Linked DNA regions of Styela clava. The protein of the gene in region 1 interacts with the protein of each later gene in a biochemical or structural test. Links are inferred from orthologs where the notes say so. Each region holds a gene or a part of one and is shown on either strand. Other genes may lie near its edges.

Region 1 (7,903 bases):
AGCATTCGCATATAGGCCTACATTGACCCCGCGGAAATTTGCACCCATGTGCATTTGCACCCACGTATATTTGCATCTGTGAACCGAATCGCGAGAAGGACATCTAAATTCCAAAACTTCGATCAGTTACATCGCGATACGATACTTGTACAGGGGGCTATGGCCCTATCTGCGTGTCTACACTCCCGTGTTATTGAACACACGTTAACAGAGTGTAACTCCAATCTAGACTCCTTCAGAGGTCAATTAAGCACATAATGTCTTGAATGCCAAATGTTTTTATATTGTAAAGTTGCACTATCGAATTGATCCAAATAACGAAATCATTTTAAAACCTTAAAGCAAGTATAGGTGATGAAACCAAATTTCTAACTAACAAAAAACGATAAAGACAAGCAACACTGAGCAAGATAAAATATATCATATATATGGGAAATGAATGAGAGCAACGACCTTGTTTCAGGCAAATAACATGCACTTAACAATACGTGGTGAAAATATTAAAATACACAGTAACTATCCTAATGTACCCGCTACATTTGCATCTTGCATTTTCGTCATTAAACTGTAAAAGGGTGTAATTATTCACATGTTTCGGTGTTAAAATACCCATGGCAATCTTCCAAAAGATTGTTGTCCCAATCCTCACTTAAAATACTGATAGAGGTATTATATCGTAGATATAACACCATCGATGGTATGCACATTGGAGATAACGGCTATCATAGATGTGAGCTCGGATACATTAGACTAGAGATTTCCGAACGGGGCAAAATTCCCTGGGAAATACATTTTTCTATTTTAGGGGATACCATTTGGCGAACTGAAAATTTACCTAAACAGTTTTAACGTGTAATGCTGTAAAGCAAGCTAAAAATTCTGAAATGATAATTGCATTACTGAACATTCGGAGTACACAACGTTTGTTATCGCGTCGAACAAAATATGTATATCGAAAAATTTGCTGATTTCTTGAATTATAAATACCGTAGAAGTGTATGGTCTATTGTTGCACAGAATAAGTCAGAAACCGGGAAACGGAGTATTTTGATTGAACACCCGCTAAAGAAGAGTTTCTCTGCCTCTACTGCGTATGTTGTTGTATATTTTTATTATTGCTGCAATGCTTGCTTTTCTGGTTGAAGAATAATGAATCTCTCTCTCTCTCTCTCTGGGAATAAAGGTCAGAAAAACATCCATTCCCATCATTGGACATGCTTTTGTTGTGAGTTTGCCTGCAAAATTTGCAGCCGAGAGGCGAACTATCTGACAAGCGGCGAGACATCACCTCGCTCTCAGCTTTATCGAAATGGCGCCGTTGCAGTTCTGCATTTCATGAGATTAAATTGCATTTATGTTCATTCAAAAAACCTTTATATAATATAGCGTATAGCAGGACGCGTACGGAGGGTCATTGCTCAATATAACCCCCTGGAATTAACTAGTCTACAACTTACAGACTTAAGAACTTGAAGGTGAATTAACACACCAAGGACTCACAATATGAGTTGAAAACAGCAAAATTCCACAAAAAGAAAACACATAATATATTTTATGCTTCTTTGTTTCATCCAAATATTCTTTTATCTCACTAACTAGCCTATGTCCAGATGTCTGTATGTGATTGTTATTGGAATCTCCGGCAATTACAAATTCAGTTGTTGTGAATTGAGGTGTGCTCGATGCATTTGTGTGAAGAAAGATACCAAAGAAGTGATAAACCATACGTGTGCAACGAAATAAAGAATTGAGAACGGACTAGGCTATAACGGATATGCAAGAAAGATGAAAACCGCTGGCATATGTCGAACAAACCATCCCATAATCAGGATTTAGACTGCAATTCTTGTCAATTAAATTTTGCTTCCAGCAACAAATTAGCTAAATCACCTGGAAGTGATGAAAATTGGCATATATATATCAATATTACTTTTACATACGAATGGAATTTCCCTTAGCTTTATGTATATCTGAAAGCACAGATGTCAATCGAGATTTCGCCTTTTTGAAATTTTTATTTCTGAAATCTCTTCCATAATTTTCTCAAGCTTGATTCACTTCACTTAAAAATATTGTTTTCTTATCAGCATGAATTCTAGAATCAATAGGATTATGTTGTTAGTGAGAGAATTGCATTCTAAGTTATAAACAGACTCATCCCCCGATACTCGCCTCTATAGCAACTGACAGTAGGCTAGTGGGCAAATGTATGAGCTTCTAAATTTAATACCAAATTTAGTTTAAATTATGATTATCCGATTTACTTTCAGGTAAGACAAAACAAGGATTCTGCAGTTAAAAGTATTTTGCTAGAAAACTGATTGAGTTTTTTCATCTTGTTCAAATTTTGGGTCAATTTAATGATTCTTCTGAATTTTGTTAAATTCACATTATTACATTGTAAAAAAGTATTTTGTTAGAAGACTGGTTGAGTTTTTCCAATTTATTTGATTGGGAAGACGTTGAAACCATCCATTCATACCCAATATATTTTTTGAAAGGAGGATCTTGTTCGAATTTGGGTCAGTTTAACAAATTTTGTGAAATATACATTATTACGTTTTATTCAAGTATTTTGTTAGAATACTGATCATGTTTTTTTTTTCCATTTCTTTTTCTTTTTGATTGAAAAGAGGTTGAGAGTATCAATCAATACCCAAAATGGTTTTGAGACCCCAAGGCCAATCATGTTCAAATTTCAATTTTTGGGGGAACTTTGTTTAACTTTCTGTTTTTCACATTTATACAACATTTTATTGCATCAGTTACATAACGCAGTAACGAGAAGAACTTAAAATTATTCTGCAGTGGGAATTTGATTTATTGTAGTAATATAATACAGTAATAATAATATATCACAAAAACTTTTTTGGCGTCCAGTCCTGTGTCATGATAAATCTTCAGGATGGATTCCTTTCCTGATGATATCAAAACAAAAATTGATGAAGTCAATCAGTTTATGAATAATTGGAAACTCAAACCACAAACATGGAAGAATATTCGTGGAATTGCGGCTTTTTCTATGGATGCAGCAAAATATGCATACAGAAATTGGGAACCACGTAAAGGTGATGTCTTTATTGTGACTTATCCTAAATGTGGAACACACTGGATGTATGAAGTTATAAAGCAGATTTATTTTATCAGAGATTCGAATTGGTTGAATTTTCTTAGTCCAAAGAGTGGAGGATTTCTTTCTAAACCCATTTATTTAGATCATGGGCCAAAAGCCAAGTTTGAAGTCATGGATCACTTTACTCGTCCTCGTATATTTACCACCCACTTACCGGAAGAGTTGGTTAATTTCGAGAAAATTGTCAAAAATGATGCAAGAGTCATTTATTTATATCGAAACCCAAAAGATATGGTAACATCATATTTTCATTTCAAGTCGTCATATCCATCACCTCCGGAGCTTGCTCATCTTCGAACAGACAATTTCGATAAATTCTACAAACAGTTGATAAATGGGGAAATGTGGACGCATGTTCCTGAAGGTGAATGGTACCCCTATCATATCAAAAGTTGGCTGAAACACAAGAATGAAAATTGTGTGAAATTCCTCTCATATGAAGACATGAAAAAGGATTTCCATGTTGTTGTCAAGTCAATCTGTGATTTTTTAGAAGTTGAAAGAAATGAAACAGAAATTGCTGAAATCGTTAAACGCTGTTCAATCACCTATATGAGGAAATCTAATGAAGGTGAAGAAAAAATGTTTTATCGTAAAGGCGATGTTGGTGATTGGAAGAATCATTTCACTGTTTCCCAATCTGAAATAATGGATGATCATCTTAAAATTGCTATGAAAGATGTTGATATTGAGTTTCAGTATGTAATTTAATTATACTAAGTACCAGTAGCTTGGTTCGAGGCAACTCAAGAAATTACTTTTAAAAACTGCTCACAGCCAAGTCTATTTTTTCAATTTATCTATTATTGGATTTTATATTATTGTTAAATTCAATATCATTCTTCTGATTATTTTTTATTGTGCAATCCATGTACGGTACCCAATTTTTTACTGGTACATTATTGCATGTATGTGTGCTTCTATCAACACTGTCGTGACCACATAATTATGTTTAACTCACTGTAAAATTATGCATATAATCTTTATTATCACTGCATTTGTATTCTCATGCAATTGAATTGTTAAAATTTTCTCAATATTAATCCTCGTTGACCGTCATATATTTTATTGTTTATTGATAAAGGTGTTCATATTATGTAATAAATGATAATAATTCCTCATCTTATTTCTTTGCAGTTTTGGGAATGTTAGAGACTAGAGTCAATTTTGACTCTATTCACCATTTATCAAAAACTTGTTGTGTTGTGTCTCTGGGTATCCGGATAAAGTGACTTGGACTCGTATTAAATTACCGCAGACAAGACTCAGCTCAGTAATTGACTTGACTTGAGCCTTTCATTAGCTGTGGCTTGGTAACTTTGAGTTTAGGGACTTCAACCCGAAACATTTTTTTTGCATTTTTATTTAAACAATACTAGTAAATAATAACTGTTTAGCTGCTACTTTGTCAACTATTTTTTCCTTATATGCAACGCCTGCGTAAAAGTGTTTTGAAATCTTCTCATTAACTTCATTTGACATAGTATTTTATGATTTATATGACGCTTATCCATGCCTTTCACTCGAGCAAGGTTTTGTACATGCAACCACCTATATATATGCCGTCTGCTCAGAGCAAGGCGCTGTACAAGCATGAAGATATTTTGATTATACATTCAGTACTATCTGTGATGACTGTAAACGAAAATCGCTGCACTTTATTAATTGAATTATGTAATCTTTCAAGTCTACATTAGTTAGTACCGGTAATATGAAAAGCAATAATCCTCACACATTTGATGAAGAAAATATTTCATTGATACAAAATGAGCTTTTGGATTGGTATAGACAAAACAAACGCGACCTGCCCTGGAGAAGAGCAGCATTGACTGATAATAAACAACAACATGCTTATGCTGTTTGGGTTTCTGAGATCATGCTCCAACAAACCAGAGTGACCACAGTGATTGATTACTATAAGAAGTGAGCAACTTAGATTGCAATTTGAGAGAATCGCTTTCTAAATAAAGCCAAAAAATCAACTTAATGAATGCAACAGTATGTCAGACTATAAAGAAATCTTCGAAACATTTAAACTAAATCAGATTTTTATGAGTACATACTTCACTCTTGTAAAGTCAGTTTCAATTCCAATTGGGGTAGAATAGATGGTAGTCATGAATTCCATTTGTTATAATGTAGATATTAAATGATGTATGTACTAATACGGGATGTCCTAACTGGAGAGGAAATTTCACTGTGTTTTTGTGTGATATTATTCATTCTTATTGTAATATATATATTGGCCAATTATAGACCATTCAAACAGTGCAGTAGCTGATGATAGTATGATACCTTAAAATTAAACAACAAATGGAAACAGGCTTTTCATGCATAGGTGGGGTGAATGATAATTTCAAAATAGGACTTACTGGCCCATTGGATTAAATTTTTAATGAACATGTACTGCAAGTTCACACAAATCCTTTGTTTCCACACATAACACAAAGTTTGTTTTTTGTATTGAAAGGTGGATGTTAAAATGGCCGACTGTTCACGATTTGGCCAAAGCAAATATGGAGGAAGTAAATCAAGTGTGGGCTGGCCTGGGTTATTATTCAAGAGCAAGGAGATTGCATGAAGGAGCCTGTAAAGTTGTAAAAGATTTAAATGGACAAATACCTGAGAACGCGACTAATTTGATGAAGCTTATTCCAGGAGTTGGTAGGTGAGTAAACAAACTGGTTCATGAATGAGTGCTTTTCAATCGATAAACATAAATTGTTGGGATATTTGTTTGGAAACACGAATGTTCATATTTGCACTGACAGTGTGCTAATTCAATTCTAACTCAATTTGAATCGAATAGATGTTTTTCATATCATTTTTGAAAACATGTCTAATAACTGAAAAGGACGAAAGACTGTTCAATTTTTTTTAAATGTATTTGTACCCCAAAATAGTCATTTTCTACTTAACTTTGAGGTAAAACAAGAACCTAGACCAGGGGTCTCGACCCCAAATTGGGTCGGAGTGATGAGTAGGTAGGGTCGCAAACAGGTCATGGGGTCGGTCGGGTCACTGAGGTATGATAGAGGATGGATGTACATATCATCTAAGATTTGACAAACCATGTTAAATTTAGCAGTTTGTACCATGGCTTACTGTAAAACAGGGCCGTAAGCATCAAAAGTCCAGTGAAAAAAGCTCTAAAGATTCATGAAAAATATATATATTGACCTGGGGTCGCACTGGACTCTTGAAAGTTGTCGAACCCCTGACCTAGACCAATGATAATGAGTAATGTTTTTGCGCACTCCTGTTATGATACTGCATATTTCTTGTTGGTGATATTGATCCTAAAAAGGGGAATGGTTGTATCACAATTGTGTGTGTGTTTAAGGAACACCTTATCCAGGTTGTAATAATTATTTAAGCAATGCCAAATTGGTTCTGATCCTTCCTAAAATTGAAGTTCCTAAGGTATCCGCGTCTGCATGTCTACTGTCTAGAATCTTGTTAGGAGTTAAATGTAAAAACTACTTAAAATAATATAAAAAAAATATTTTCATCAAAATACACCAGATATACAGCTGCTGCAATCGCTTCAATAGCTTTCAACGAATCAGTTGGAGTTCTGGATGGAAATGTGATTCGTGTTATAAGTCGTCTTCTTACTATTGGAGGTGATGTGTCTTCAAAAAATGTTACTGATCATTTATGGGATCAAGTCGACAAAAGCATTCCATCTGATCAGCCTGGAGATTTTAACCAGGTAGATGTAATATGGGTATTTTATTAAATATAAATAATATGATATGACTGACCAATCATAGGACCAGTGGATCTCTATCAAAAATTGCTCTTTTAGTTAACATTATATTATTGAAACTTCTCCAGTCAATAAACTTGCTCATTTTATCTGCACTTTTTTTGTTTATAGACTTATATTTTGCTATTGCAAAAATTTAAATCCAAATGCCCAATATATTTTAATCAAGCATTTACCCGTAGGTTGTATCCTACAGAACTTTGAATCATGTTCATTAAATTTCCACTTGCTATAAATTTGAAAAGAAAAATTAATAAAACTTTTATTCTGACTTGGCTCTTCGCCCTCTCTGGAAATGGTGAGAAATGTCTTTATTTTCTGTAGAAGTTTTTCATCTGTCATCCTTATTCTGTCAGCTCAATCAGAAATTGTATCCAACTGTTTTTTTACATAACTACATGCCACATGCGAAATTTCATTTATTAATTTGACAGGCAATGATGGAATTGGGAGCTTTGGTCTGCATGCCAAAAAATCCTGTATGCTCGCGATGTCCTCTACGAAGTGTTTGTAAAGGTTATAAGGAAGTTGAAAATTATAAGAAAACAAATACAATTTCTGTATCAAACTTACTGTTAGGTAAAAACAACAACAAAAACAAAAGGAAAGCATCAGCAGATGGTGACAACTCAAAAACACCAAAACGAGTAAAAGTTGAGATTGAAGAGTTGAAAAGTAAAAATGTTGAGGATATAGAATCTTGTACGATATCTTTTTTAAAATTTCCAGTTGATAAGCCATGGCTTCCAGCGCTTGGGGTCATGAATTACCCTAGAAAAGCAGATAAAAAGCCGCCAAGACAAGACATTGCCTTATTAAGCGTGGTTGAATTAAAACATGTTGATAATGAATCCAAAATGTTGGTTACTCAAAGGCCGGACACTGGACTTTTAGCCAAACTGTGGGAATTCCCTACCCTAACTTTAAATGCTGAACAAGTAGCACATAAAAGTTTCAAGAAACACTTTTCTGAGAAAGGGACACACCCAACAAAACAC
Region 2 (7,783 bases), on another chromosome or scaffold:
AAGCTCTACCATGCACAATAGGCTGCAGTATACGAATGATCTTTCAAAACATGACTTCATCTCTGTGGAACATATTAGTCACGTAACGTTTTATCTAAGGCTTGACAATTCAATACGAAAACAGAAAGAATATTTTTGTCGCAGAAAACAAGAAAAAAATAAAGTTGTCTTTTTGCGCGAAGACGTCTGTTTATATAACAGAAATATTATTTATATTTATGCCTGAATGAGTTTTTTCATAATTTTATTCAATGATGAACAAGGGAACACATGTCTTTGTAAAACTATTTTCCATAGACCTTGTACATACGTATAGTATGCCTACGTTGAAGTATTTGTGTCACATTTGCGCATATCTTTGCGATCCTAAAGACATAATTTCAACTTTTTCTAATAGCTAAGACTTGGCTATTTAATACGAAAATAATTTAAAACATTCGTGGTTCTAATTTTTTTTATTTCATTTTGCCATTACTGTATAGCTAGTATTTAAAATCAAAGTGGTATTACAGCATTAATATCGTTATTTTACAAATTTTTTGATAAGTTTATGTGAATAGGGAAAGTAATAACTCCAACCTCTTAATTTCAGCTCCGTGAAACTATAGTTACATAACGTTTCATGTAAGGCTTGGTAATTCAATGCAAAAACAGTAAGCGATGCATATTATTGTAAAAAAAAGTAGAATATTAATTTGCAATAAGACTACAAATTTTGTTTTCCCTAAAATATAAAATAGAAATATTATTAATAAGCCGGTTAGGATACTTTAGAAACGATTTTTTCACAATTTTATTTATTGGTGAACAAGCCAATAGGCATTCAAAAACGATTGTACATCGCCCCTTTACATACGTTCCCTGAGTTTTGTTCTTTTATAAATTTATAATTCTTCTTCGTGCTTGTTTACATTCCTATTGACTACGGATATAAGTTTTACAAACAATAGAGACTGATTCTTCAGTTGGAAAAGGAGGTTTGGTCAGTATAACCAATTGTATCTTGAAATTTCGTGTCAAGGTTCGGGTCAAGTAGACATTATTCAACTTCCTGCAATAGGAATCTTGGGATCAACTGAATATCCCCTCCCCTTGGACCCGCCTGGGGAGGAGATTCTTCAGTTGAGTTGGACTCACCTGGAAGGGGGGGATTCTTCAGTTGATCTTAGTTGGGGTAGAGATTCTTTAGTTGATCCCGTTTCTCAACTGAAAAAAAAATATTCCCTTCCCCCAACCAACCTAAGCCGATAATACCAGTTGATCCTTTATTTGACCTGGGCTAATTATTTGTTAGGGTTAGATGGTCTTAGTTGGGGTGAAGATTCTACAGTTGGTCTTAGTTGGGGTGGAGATTCTACAGTTGGTCTAACTTGGGGTAGATATTCTTCCCCCTGTAGGGGGAGGGGGATTCTCCAGTTGATCCAAAGTTTGTTCTCTAGTCCAGTGTTTCCCAAACTTTTTCGGCAGCGGACCCCTATTTGTGAATATCAATTTTTACGGACCCCCATCCTATGCCGTATCAATTTCTGTGTCTGATCAACGAGTAAGGATAATGTTTCATTTACAACACAACGCAAGCGACATTAATGTGATGGGTGAAGTTCCTTTTCATTCCACAATTTATCAATTGTCGGAGCAATTTGTATCTAGCAAACTCTCCGACAACTATCGACCTGTATTTTGTTGTCATATTGGTAAGAGCTGTAAATTCCTTTCCACACACATATATAAGTCGTTACAAAAGGCAAGAAATGCGTATTTGTTCGAAACGCTGCGCAACGATTTTTTTTTTGATTGAAATCAATCATTAAAGATTGATCAAACTCGCATACCGTTGCGGACCCCCCCTGCAGTGATTACGGACCCCCAGTGGTCCGCGGACCCCAGTTTAGGAAACCCTGCTCTAGTCTGGTCTAGAATTTTACCTGATATATAAATTCTATAAATATAATTAAATTCTTGGCGTTTCAATCACTTTGATGATTGTGGCATTGATACGAGCACGAGCAATGATATTTGCGACAATTGAATTCTTAAGTTTGGTTAAAAGTTATATCAGCAGCAGGGGCGGACACTTTCCATAATTTTGGGGGGGCGAACTTGGATCGCCTACCGAAAAACGCCGCGCCGCGCCGCGTATCGTCACGTAACAATAACCTGTCGATGTCATTCTCTAAGTATTAGCATGTCATTTTGCTACTGATATATCGAGTACCTGGGCTGCTTTGCTCGGACACGGAACTTGCGCGTCACTGATCCAATTTCTTGAATTCCGCGAGAATTAGCCCACGGCTCTTGCTAACAAACAGAAAATAACAAATTGAGGAGTATTAGGTTATTGTTTCAATTCCTAGTTCTGCATAAAGCGCACTAACGTCGTTTCGTAAAATTAAAAATGCAAAACAAGGTAACAAGCTATTGTGCGAATTTTTTTCCTAAATTTTACCAAGGAATTATCATTTGACTAGTAGAATTGCCATTATTGCCGATTTATTAAATCATCATTTGAACTCGAAATAACATTCAGGATTCACGCAATGACTTTGCAAAGTCGGAACTTCACATTGCCGTCTGCAACAAGCACCGCGATTACGCGCTCGTTAAAAGAGCCGCCTATTTAAGCGTATAAGGATTTTTCTGTCGATCCATGACAGCCACGAGATTCTAAAATGTTCTTATATATTAATTTAATAGGATTCACGCAATGACTTTGCAAAGTCGGAACTTCACATTGCCGTCTGCAACAAGCACCGCGATTACGCGCTCGTTAAAAGAGCCGCCTATTTAAGCGTATAAGGATTTTTCTGTCGATCCATGACAGCCACGAGATTCTAAAATGTTCTTATATATTAATTTAATAGTGTGCAACGTAACTCGCGGTTGCGACTTTTTACGTCAAAATAAAAATATTACTAAACTAAAGTAACACGGTGATATGTTTGCCTAAAAATATGAGATAAGCTGCCTGATGTATTTAATTTTGATACCTATTTTTGCAATCTTCCGAACTCGTTACCGCCGTAACAAAAATCTCAATATCTGATATAAAATCCCATGTAGTACAATTTTAATTCATACAATGAAAATAATTATAAAGTATACTAGTAAATCAAAAATACAAATTCACCGCCTCGAAATCCACGTGGAACAGTCGCCGCGATTACGCCACTTGTTAAAAGAGCTGACTTTATCAACGAAAAATGATTTTTCACTTGTGCCAAGTAATCGAAGACCGATACGGGCATAATAAAAATGTCTTGATTTATTAATTTAATTGTCTTCAATTTAAACTGCGGTTGATTCGACAAAACAAGAGCCACTCTAAAACACGACGGCAATCCGCGGACATAAAAATGTGTGGTAAACTGCCCGTTTATATATTGTTTTGATCCGTATTTTTGCTATTTTGCGAATTCGATAAATTTGAGATGTACATGTCACACTGGCTCCGCTCAATCGCAATGTTGTCACTCCGATTATTTTTAAAGATAAAACCTTTCGAAAAATCCGTAAATTTTCTGTCAATTCTCACGTAGTAAAAGTTATTTCAGTACAATAAAAATACATAAATAAATACAAAAAGTGATCGAATATACTTTAATTATCTTATATATCATCACAAACCGGGGAAAAGTCGCGTTCTCAGCTTTGTTTGTTAACACGAAAATTTTACGACGTCAATTTAAAAGTAATGGATAAAAAGGCAAATCCCGCTCACAATTGACCGTGTTTCGATTTTAGTGACGAAATGTTTTTAAAGGTCAAGCAAACATAATTTGTGCCGTAGGCACACGAAATTTTGCGATTTTCGATGCCTAGAAAAGCGTTTATAGACTGTCGCGGGCCTCAACAAAACTTATATTGTTTACATTTTTGTTTTTAGTATTTTATATTATCGCTTTTCAACTTTTCGACATAGTAAATGCTTTGATCTTTGCCCGCAAATTATGTTGGGCCTTGCACGAAATCCATAACATGAAAAGATACGTCCAGCGGTGAAAATTGTTTATAACAACTTTAGATCTAGTTAATTTTTTAGCGATAATAATTAATTGTTGTAATGAAACACAGTTTGCCTCTTTCACTTCTCTCGCAAGTGCCAACAATAACACTATTGAAAGATTTTGACAATGAGAAAATCATAATAAATTGTACAAAAATGAATTAGTTGTGCTAAACCGTTGCGCGTGATCGGCGATGCGTTTGAAGACGGAGTATTACCCGTGCGGGCGCGCATGTTTCACGAAAATATGAGGTGCTCCGAAGGCGCTCTGGTCCACATTATTGTAAGAAAACAGTTATAATATCGGTAACTATTAACTGTTTAATTGCGCTTGACTATCGCACTTTTCGAAAATGATAATTTCGTAAGGCGGAAACAACATGTATTAAATTGACATGTATTAAATTGACACCCCATCCCCCCCCCCCCCCCCCCGGGTGTCCGCCCCTGATCAGCAGGTAGTAGAGGAGGGCGTTCTGTTTCCTGACTACGAGCCAAGTAGCTGGCCAGACCAGTATCATTTGAACGAAAAATAAACAAATGTTTTACACAACAAATTGTTGGGCGACTGAGAAGCACGATTTGTTTAAAATAAAATTAAAAAATATCTTTTCATTTTATATTCACTCAACACGAAGATCACCAGGCCATCTGACGCCCCCCCTTCGACAGAGAGACCGACACGTGCGTGAGCCCTGATAAGCGGCATTTATGAGCCTGCAAATATTCGTTCGGGCAATTTCTAGTATCACAGTAACGCAATTAAGTCACCATATTTTTGTTCGTTCATGGTTATGCAATATGGCCAAGGTAAGCTATGTTTGCTGTACTATTTTATTTTAATTACAGAATTATACTGGGTGATATTATGGTGCAGTGCCGCTACACCACTGGCAGACTGCTATGACTGCAGAAGACTGAGGTGAACCGGTACCGTACCGGCAATTTGCGATATATTTTTGTGTTGTTGGGTAATTTACCGGCACCTTGGAAGTATGCAATTCAAGAGTCCTGCTGCACACTAACACAAATATATTTCTGTAACGTTTCATCTGACCAAAATCAGACTTCCTCAGACAAGCAGTTTACAACAATGACAAGAAAAGAGCAATCATGCAGTTTAAATATGGCGATAAATAAATTTGTTTGAAATTAATTGTGAGCAAACAATGAAAAAACAATTATTGATATTCAGAAACAGATTGCGAAATAAAAAAATGCAATCGGTTCTGAGCATGGAATAATTGTTCCGCGGCGTGCTTGATTTCACAATAAGTTTCACTAGAACATTTATCAATGTGTTCTAGGCTCAGATCTTGATAGCCAGGGTCCTTATAATGTGATTCTTTTAAAGGCGTTGAATTCTTTTTAGTATTGCTTCTAAATTCTTTTCTTGTGGTAGTTGTCGAGTCCGGAGTTTGGCAGGATCCATTCGGATACAGAAGTCACGCGAAAAAGGCTAATATAACGATCAGTAGAGGTTGCGCGAGACTAACTCCCAATCCTTTCTCTATGCCTTTGCGCTAGTGGATCCGTATGCATGTAATGCAAGGATGCTGTAGCAGGAATAAAATACCATAATATGCAATTCAAGAGTCCTGCTGCACACTAACACAAATATATTTCTGTAACGTTTCATCTGACCAAATGCAAAGGCATAGAGAAAGGATTGGGAGTTAGTCTCGCGCAACCTCTACTGATCGTTATATTAACCTTGGAAGTATCTCACATTTTTCCTATTATTTAGGTGTGTAAACATGTATCCAGTGGTGTGATTCAGCCGGTTCTATAGAACAGGGGTCCTCAAATACCGTACCGTATGGGATCGCGACCCATAAACCCTCCACTCTGGGTCGCACAACAATTAAATTAGCCATAAATATAAGCAACTACAACTTTGTAAACCTCTAATTATATTTATGGATGTTCAACATCCTTATTTACTGCCGTAACATTGGCCATTCAGCATAAGTGCAAAATTTAAAGTAACAATAAACGTTTTAGCAGCATGCCAGCATCTCAGACACTTTTGTGTCAGACATATTTTCATGGTTGTGAATGTTACCTCATTTTCGTGTGCTATTTGTTAGTTTTTAGTTGTGTTTTGGTAAATATAGGCTAAGTCTAAATCAAATAACTCAATAGTCATTTTGTCTTCTTGATTGCAGTAATCAAAAATTAGTCTAAAAATAGATCTGATAGGCTGGGCCAGGGTGGTCCAAACCCAGGCCTACGGGCCACATGTGGCCCGCAGTCTCATTATCTGTGGCCCGCGTCCCTTTGATGAAGGGTAATCGAAAAATCGCATTTGGTGTTGTTTCGTCCTAAAAATAACAGAAAATCTTTCCGACATCTTGTTACATCACTAATGTCACTGAATTGACTAGTGTCACAGCTAGCTGAAGCAACTTGCAAAGTTGAATAGTGTGCTTGGGTAGTCCAAATTGTTCACTGGCTTTCTATCGCAAAAAGTTAGAAAAAAAAAAATTTGTGTCACGCCATGAAGTAGTTGCAGACTCCTGCTATAGAAAGTCTCACAGAATTTTTGAGATCAAGTAGCTCGCATGTTTCTTCTCAAAATGTGAAATGATCAAGTTCGCACATACCAGTTATGTCAATTAGGAAATTATTGAAAATAATTAGTTTATTTGCTAAAAAAATAAAATTTTGTAACAGAACCGGCTAAAAAATTTGACTTTTGTGATGGAGCCGGCTGGCATAAAAATTTGATTCTCACCACTACATGTACCGGTAACACCTATTTTAACAGCATCATTCAATTTAAAATCTGTTTGTTTTAACCCTTACTCGAGGTTTTGTTTGCTCTCCTGATTTGGAATCAATTTTTTTTTTTTTTCATCATTTTTTATTATGGAGACTAAATAAACTTAACCAATCTATCCTTCACTAAAAATATTGAAAATTTTGACAGAAACAAAAAACTGAAAAAAGAGCAGCAGAAAGTTCAGCTAATGAAGAAGAAATTGTTAATAAGAAGGTGAGTTTGTGCTTTTCGGATCGCACCTACGATTACCGTCTGTAAGTTCGCAGGTTCGAATCTTGTGTAGAATAATTAGCCTATGTGCGAGAGGATTGCCGAAATCATCATCGTCGTAGGGTAACTGCATCGATTGTATTTTCCCTCAGTTACATGCCAATGCATTCCCTCTATGATGTATTTACACATGAGGGTGTTAGTAATTCGCTTTTGCGTTTGAAGCGCACAAACGTGCTGTGATTTTTAATATAATAATTACATCACTGATATTCTAGATTTTATTGAAACCATCTGGAAAGACATGATACCTTTTCCGATATTTTATGGTTCAAATCCCTAGAAAAAAATAAGTCGAGTTGCCCGATAAGCTGACTCAGAAAGTCACGCCAAAAATAGGCTTATTAGTCAGAAAATACAGTATATATATTTTCATATCTTTGCAGGCCAAAACCAACTATAAAGACGCTACAATAGGCCAGGTAAGATGGTTATTTTTTTGGGGGTTCTTTTAGTGTAACTGATTCAAAATTCTGTGAATTGGATTATGGTGGACTGGGTATGCAAAGTAGTACTTTTGAATTCAGGTTCAAAGACAAAAAGGCAACTTTGGAAGTTTGAATTCGATAATATCACAAAGAATTAGGTTTTCTTGAAGCCCGCATCAATTCATAGTTAGCAGCAAAATTCATTTGCCCCCTCTCAGAATTTGTCAAGTCTGCGGCCCATCTAAACAAATATTTAGCTAACAATAAGCTACAAATAACAAATAGTAAGGATAAAGT

Evidence for each region.
Region 2: the proteins of adenine DNA glycosylase-like (region 1) and DNA repair nuclease APEX1-like form a complex in vitro, tested with the Homo sapiens proteins (3 studies listed by BioGRID and IntAct, with this or other methods). The link is inferred for Styela clava from reciprocal best matches to the Homo sapiens genes MUTYH and APEX1.

What each region holds. Positions count from the first base shown.
Region 1 is NC_135258.1:10,284,657-10,292,559, reverse strand, and holds the start of adenine DNA glycosylase-like, read left to right. Parts: upstream 1-4,842; 5' UTR 4,843-4,844; coding exon 4,845-5,056; intron 5,057-5,603; coding exon 5,604-5,801; intron 5,802-6,658; coding exon 6,659-6,848; intron 6,849-7,339; coding exon 7,340-7,903. Other genes in the region: amine sulfotransferase-like, read left to right, coding at 2,906-3,844. UniProt on the Homo sapiens protein: Involved in oxidative DNA damage repair. Initiates repair of A*oxoG to C*G by removing the inappropriately paired adenine base from the DNA backbone. Possesses both adenine and 2-OH-A DNA glycosylase activities.
Region 2 is NC_135256.1:4,929,641-4,937,423, forward strand, and holds the start of DNA repair nuclease APEX1-like, read left to right. Parts: upstream 1-4,527; 5' UTR 4,528-4,714; coding exon 4,715-4,813; intron 4,814-6,935; coding exon 6,936-7,001; intron 7,002-7,444; coding exon 7,445-7,480; intron 7,481-7,783.